Linked DNA regions of Xenopus tropicalis. The protein of the gene in region 2 purifies or fractionates together with the protein of the main gene of each other region. This does not show direct contact. Links are inferred from orthologs where the notes say so. Each region holds a gene or a part of one and is shown on either strand. Other genes may lie near its edges.

Region 1 (3,756 bases), on a different chromosome or scaffold from region 2:
ACTTTGTGCAAAAAGCATTTCTTGAGTCAGTATTCCCGCAACAGACAAAAAGAAAATACCCATGAGACAATTTACCATTCGGCCCATACGCTGTGCGAGTAGTCTGAGCGAGCTCTTTACAGGCCTGGATATTCCGGAACACTGCTTCTTCCAATCCAGAATAGTGCTGCGAGAGAAATAAGAAAGCATGCAGCTCACTTAGTATAGCCACCAACAAATATTTATTTATTTATATAGCGCCAACATATGCCAATGCGCTGTACAGAGATATATATATATAGTAGAAAGTGAAGATGTCCCGCACTCACAGGTCTTAGGTTAAATAAAAGGAGTTTATTCAATCCACGCCTTTTATTTAAAGAGCAAGTAAAGTCGATTACCATTGCACAACTTAGCAAAACTTAGTTTACATCCTGTGCATTCTAACACTGCAATGTTCTAATTTAAGTCCCCTGTAAGGAAATATCTACTTTAAAATCAACCATGTACCTCCACTTCTTTGTATGGCACTGCTCTCCCAGCCTCCTCCCAAGCATCGCTGTCCTGGACAGTGTCTGAAACGAAGCATGCGCAGTATGCGCTCCTGCACACAGCATGAAGGGTCACGGGTCATAATCACGGGGTCAGTGGGTGGATGCGATGCTGGAGCATGCGCATTTTGACACTCGTCGTGAAGCCAGAAGCAGGGGGAATTAAAGATGGCGGCGCGTACCAGCAGAGTGAGTGAGGATGCATAAAAGCGATTTTACAACAAACGGTACATATTTTGCTGGTTTTGATTTAGCGTCCTACTCTGTCTGGGGTCTGTATAAGTGCACAATAAAGGATTTTAATCTGCTTGCCTTGCTCTTTAATCTAAGACCTGTGAGTGCGGGACATCTTCACTTGCTACTATTCCTTAATCTGTTGGGACTGCACCCAGGCATCGCTACTCTTTCTGCGATATGAGTGCCTGTCTACAAGCCAAAGAGAGATATATATATATCTTTCCAATCAGTCCCTGCCCCAGTGATCTTACAATCTAAGGTCCCTATCACATTCCCATCAGTCCCTGTCCCAGTGAGCTTACAATCTAAGGTCCCTATCACATTCCCATCAGTCCCTGCCCCAGTGAGCTTACAATCTAAGGTCCCTATCACATTCCCATCAGCCCCTGTCCCAGTGAGCTTACAATCTAAGGTCCCTATCACATTCCCATCAGCCCCTGCCCCAGTGAGCTTACAATCTAAGGTCCCTATCACATTCCCATCAGCCCCTGCCCCAGTGAGCTTACAATCTAAGGTCCCTATCACATTCCCATCAGTCCCTGCCCCAGTGAGCTTACAATCTAAGGTCCCTATCACATTCCCATCAGTCCCTGCCCCAGTGAGCTTACCATCTAAGGCCCCTATCACATTCCCATCAGTCCCTGCCCCAGTGAGCTTACCATCTAAGGTCCCTATCACATTCCCATCAGTCCCTGCCCCAGTGAGCTTACAGTCTAAGGTCCCTATCACATTCCCATCAGTCCCTGCCCCAGTGAGCTTACAGTCTAAGGTCCCTATCACATTCCCATCAGCCCCTGCCCCAGTGAGCTTACAATCTAAGGTCCCTATCACATTCCCATCAGTCCCTGCCCCAGTGAGCTTACAATCTAAGGTCCCTATCACATTCCCATCAGTCCCTGCCCCAGTGATCTTACAATCTAAGGTCCCTATCACATTCCCATCAGCCCCTGCCCCAGTGAGCTTACAATCTAAGGTCCCTATCAGATATATATATATATATATATATATATATGTATATATACATACATATAAAAGCCAATTTGCACAAAGCAGAAGCCTCAACTGGTACTGATGCTAGTGCTCATAACCCCCCCCCCCCCGCACAGAGGGGACCCACTATGGCTGTCGCACAGGGCGTGGCATTCTGCACTTTTTATTTGCCACCAGTCACTAAATAATATATTATTTCTAATGGGATTTCCCCCTATTACTCCACTTACTGTAGGAACGGCACCAACGGCTCCCCTATAGGGAATATCCCGGATACAGACCATAAGTATCACTGCCAGCAATCTAATAATCTAATAATGGTACAGCTTGGCCTTTAATGGCCACAAATAAATCAAAGAGACAGAAACACAGGCCTGGGCCCTTACAGGAACACTATGGGGCCCCTGGAATGTCAGAGAGAGGCTAACTGGAATACAATATGTTTAGTAGAGACAAGCAAGGGTTAAACTGTTTCTACACACCTTTAGGAAGAGAATACTAAATAATTATGTAAATAAGTATTTGAAATTTATATTAATAAAATATTTCTTTTAGTGTTACTTGCCCTTTAAAGCTAAATAACTTTAATTTAACAATTCCCCTACAGCCTCGGGCTCCTAGAGGATGCTGGGAGCTGTAGTTGAAGAGCAGCAGAGATAAAGCGGAGGGATCCCAGCCCCAAGCACATGCCCCGCTATCCCCATGGCTTCTGGAAGCTTCCATGTGCCGCCCATGCCCCGCCACTCCGGCCTCCCCCCCCGCCCGGCCTTACCTTGGCTCCTTCCTTCAGCATCTGGGCAAAGCCCGGGGCCTTGGGGACGTGCAGCGCCATGATGGTACCTGTGGGTGAGCCGGAGAGTGGGAGCGACCAAACGCGCTATCACCGGCACTCAGAGAAAGAGACGGGGGAAATGGGCAGCGGCTTCCCACAACTCCCTGCGGGAAAGGCGCTCTCAGACGATTGGCCGATAGAATCAACCCTTCTCTGAGGCGCCAGGCGCGGAGGGAATCGATGTTATCCGGAGCGGCTGGCTGCCCTGTGTGAGTGACAGCTAGGGGGCGGGCTTTGGGATAGGGGCGGGCTGTAAGGGCAGGGAAGCACAATGAGAGGCCCGGCGTGTGAGCTGTGGTGTTCCTTTATAAGGAGCTGCTTTCTGTCTGGAGCCCACAGAGTTACTGGGACCCCCTGAGGGCAGGGTTAGACGTTTTAGGCCGTGGTATTGTGTACTAGATAGCTCCAATAGCCGTACAGCAGGGTGGGCGTCCCTAAATCGTGGTTGCAGGAACCCTCAATCTCTGGCTTGAAGTGAACTACAACTCCCATCATCCCCCACAGCTAGGGCCGCTTCCACAAGTCGGCCCCTGAGGATAATGGGTGCTTCTGTTATTAGCTTAGGCAGACCCAGGCTGGCACAGGACTGCTACTACATGCCAATGTTATTCATAGGGAAACATAAGGGACAGGCTTGTACCTGTGCCCTGCCATTAGCTTTACATGCTAGCGCAGTCTAGTTGCACAATACTCTGCAGTGCAAAAGATATGATCCACTGCAATAAAATCTAAATTAGGGAGCTCCAAACCAGATCCTTACGCTTCAGCCAAAATCCAGTCATGTGACGGCTGCAGATAATGCCACGGGGGCAGTTAATATTGACTATTATTATTATTAACATTTATTTATAAAGCGCCAACATATCCCGCAGCGCTGTACAATAAGTGGGTTACATACATTGGGCATACAGAGTAACATATAAAGCAATCACCAAATCCAGGCACCCCTTGGCCATCCCTATTCCCCCCTGCGCATGCGTGAACAAAACCACCTCCCCCCCCAGACGCAAGCGCGCATGCGCAGACATTTAAACTCCCATAAGGAGCGCTGGGGAGAAGTCCCCAGCGCTCCGTATGGGAGCAAAATGTCAGAATTTTTGTGCGGCGGGGTGGCATGGCGCCCCTAAGTTTCTGCCACCCTAGGCCCAGGCCTTTGTGGCCTCGCCA
Region 2 (3,656 bases):
TAATGGTGCTAGTAATTTTGCTTGCATAAGATTCCAGCCTTCTCAGACTGGCAGCAGCTATAAATAAACTGACAAGTCACCTCCAAGTTAACTGTTTATATATTTTATAATTTGTACAGTTTGCAGTTGGGTTTTGTTTTGAACTGTTTTGTAGCTTTCTAGTTTGGAACCAGACTGGAAGGGAAATATGAAAGAGATCACAATAGCAAACCTTTAATGCAAACAGCAGATGTAAAAGGAACAGTATAATCACTAAGGGGTGCTCCCAATGAGTATAATTGCCTACTTGATTGGTGCTCCTGTTCACTGAAATTTGCAAAGGCCCAGGGTTCATTATATCGCCATCTTCTTCTGTCTCCCAGGGGTACTTCTTTGCCAAATTTATAAAGCAGCAACGTATTCAACAGTGCTGTACAATAAATGGGTGTATGCATTAAACATACAAAGTAATATACAAAAGCAAACAAATAGGCAATGCAAGAAAGAGAGAGGGCCATGTTTAAAAGAGCTTATTTTCTAAAAAATACCCTTGTGTGGGATCAGTTTTGAAATAAAAATAAAAAATGAATAATAGAGGACCTAAAAAGAAAAACAAGCAATAACATTAAGACTGGACTGGCTAATAATTAATGAACACCAATATGAAGATGATCAGAATAAGTCAATCACTCACAATGTAATGCACAGTATAAGTTGGTTACAGAGAATGGCACTAGAGCCTTGCGTGACATTAGCCTAAAATGAGAATTCCACTTGCCTTAATATATACCAGGCAGCATATAAAGATATTAGGTAAATTACTTAGTCCCGTGTGACAAATTCCTAAATGTAAAAAATCCACTTTGGCTTTTGATAGTAAACTGGCATTCTAGTTGATACTTGATCCTTTGGGGTTCAGGTTGAATATCCATTAGCCTCAGTAATGAGATTTTGGGGTCATTAACTGAAACACTGGGCAATTTGCATCTGGGTAGTAGCCCATGGGAACCCATCAGTGCTAATCACTGCTTACAGTGGGTTACTGTTCAGTTGACAGTGCCCCCAGATATTTTCAAGTTCCCTACAGTATAGGACTAAAACTGTCCCTGCCTTAAAATTTCTGTGTTTAGCTCTTTGACCCTTTGTGGAGAAACCAACATTTTACAACTGATTTACATTAAATACCAACCAATTTTTAGAACTTTTTTTTTTCTCTTCCCCTTTAAACTTTGCAGGAAACTTATCAGTCTGCTATAATTTTTTCCACTTCTGTCACAAAATATGAGATATGGGAAAATCAAACATTGAATATATGAACACATAACTGTATACAGAAAGTCTTCTGAAAGGCTCCCATAGACTCCATTTTAATGAATTAAAAAACAGTACCTTACTGTAGGCGCAACAATCCTATTGGGTTTATTTAATGTTTAAATTATTTCTTGGTAGACTAAGCTATGCTGATCCAAATTACTGAAATATCCCTTGTCCAGAAAACCCCAGGTCCCAAGGATTCTGGATAACTGGTCCCATACCTCTACCAAAAGCACAAAACAAGTGGAGATTTCAAACCCAACTCTGTCTAAAGTAGTCGAATTGGCAGCTTAAATCTTCACATGTAAGGGCATATTAAGGTCTCGATTTAATATCACAAATGACTCGTTTACAGCAGTTAACAGCAAATGTGTTTATTTTACAGGCAAAAGAAATCTTAACAAAAGAATCAAATGTCCAGGAAGTTCGGTGCCCAGTCACAGTATGTGGAGATGTACACGGACAATTTCACGATCTTATGGAACTGTTCAGAATTGGAGGCAAATCACCAGATACAAATTATTTGTTTATGGGAGACTATGTTGACAGAGGATATTACTCTGTTGAAACTGTAACGCTGCTTGTTGCACTTAAGGTAAGATAATTCATTTATATTAATGGTGCTCCACTGGCAATCAATGAAACAATACAATATTATAAGGTATTCTTATAATAAAATGCCAAAATATGCCACAGTGCTGTACAATAAATGTGTATACATACATACAGATTACATACAAAAAACAACCAGTAATCTATGCAACAAGTTGATAGGGCAATGCTTAGTAGAGCTTGAGGATATGTGTTTTTTTTCTGTCCTGTATGTATATTAATGTTTTTTTTATACCTACTACACCAGATAAATCAGTTGACAGTAGCCATTCACGTACAGTAGAAAAGACGAAATATAGAGCGCTATCAGTGTATCAATAAAATAAAACTGTTCTAAAGAGTCCCCTAACAAGAACTTGTAGCAGAAAAAGCACAAGCAATAAAAAATGCTAATATAATATATATAGAAGGCCATCGTATGTTGAAGGGAAAAAAATGATACATATGAATACAATTCAAATATTATCCAAAAAGCTTTTAAAGTCTCCTAATGTATAAGCATGTTATTGTAACACCAATAAACATTAAAAAAAAGTGGGCAGCCTATATGATGTGCAGATAGATAAATGAAAAATATGTATTTCATTATGATGCTGTAGTGCTATAAATAATCCAGTCTGTTCTATTTAAAAAGCCATAAATATTTCTTCTAGTTGTTATTAAATATTCATTTGTACCGTAAAGCCAGAAGGCTCATTTGTAGAATGGAGGGGGTTTAGAAAAATATTTTTTTGTAGTTTTTTGCTGTCAAAAGCAGCATTTTTCTGCGACTTGCTGCACTGTTGTTTCTGTCTCTTAAAACAATGTACAGAAAGTAAACCTTGCATGCTGCTTCTGTTAATGAACTAGCTTTGCTACATTGTTTCAAAAGCCAAAACCAGCAGGGCAGAGAATAGTAAGATCGCTTTCTGTAACAATTACATTTACAACTTTTACACCATAGACATCTTGCATTTAATTTGTATTTTCAAAGTTTTTCGAATTACATTTTCTGTCTGTTGGTTTTCAATGGTACATTCTCTACTTAGAGAAGGGTTCTTAATGGGATCCTGCAGGGTTTAGTAATGGGTCCACTGTTAAATTTGTTCATTTAACAAATTTGTTCGTTAATGAATTTGAGGGAGGGCGCTGTACGCAATGTATGCATTATGCAAGTTAGTTTCATCCGGGATGTAGCATTATTTCAGGGGGATATGAACAACTGAATCTTATCTGCCACTTAGCTGGATAGATTGCCAATGTTGATATGAGGTTATGAATTTAGGGTTTATAAATAACTTGTACTGGGGGTACTTGTGTATAATAAATGATAGAAGTCTCTGTTTCCATTTTATTGCAAAAACCTATTCATACCTTTCAGGTTCGCTATCGGGAACGCATCACAATCCTCCGAGGAAATCATGAAAGTAGACAAATCACACAAGTATATGGATTTTATGATGAATGCTTAAGGAAATATGGAAATGCAAATGTCTGGAAGTATTTCACTGACCTTTTTGACTACCTCCCCCTGACTGCACTGGTAGATGGTCAGGTATGTGTATAATGTGTATATTAAGTAAACACTTTTATTGCAGAGCTCCACATTAAAAGAGGGTGACTTCCCAGTGTATGTATAAATGTGTCAATAAATAGGACTTGACATGAACATATTTTGTCTGTTGTGTGCAGTGCACACCAATGGCATTTGAAATAAGGATTCTCTTAAAGGAAAACAATACCCCCAAACAATGTAGGTCTCTCTAAAAATA

The links. Proteins that work in one complex are often made in the same cells at the same time.
Region 1: the proteins of ppp2ca (region 2) and cct8 purify together in Homo sapiens (affinity purification with mass spectrometry; 4 studies listed by BioGRID and IntAct, with this or other methods). This does not show direct contact. The link is inferred for Xenopus tropicalis from reciprocal best matches to the Homo sapiens genes PPP2CA and CCT8.

What each region holds. Positions count from the first base shown.
Region 1 is NC_030678.2:16,664,503-16,668,258, reverse strand, and holds the start of cct8 (T-complex protein 1 subunit theta), read right to left. Parts: upstream 2,725-3,756; 5' UTR 2,590-2,724; coding exon 2,530-2,589; intron 167-2,529; coding exon 76-166; intron 1-75. UniProt on the Homo sapiens protein: Component of the chaperonin-containing T-complex (TRiC), a molecular chaperone complex that assists the folding of actin, tubulin and other proteins upon ATP hydrolysis.
Region 2 is NC_030679.2:26,547,364-26,551,019, forward strand, and holds part of ppp2ca (serine/threonine-protein phosphatase 2A catalytic subunit alpha isoform), read left to right. Parts: intron 1-1,678; coding exon 1,679-1,888; intron 1,889-3,265; coding exon 3,266-3,439; intron 3,440-3,656. UniProt on the Homo sapiens protein: Catalytic subunit of protein phosphatase 2A (PP2A), a serine/threonine phosphatase involved in the regulation of a wide variety of enzymes, signal transduction pathways, and cellular events.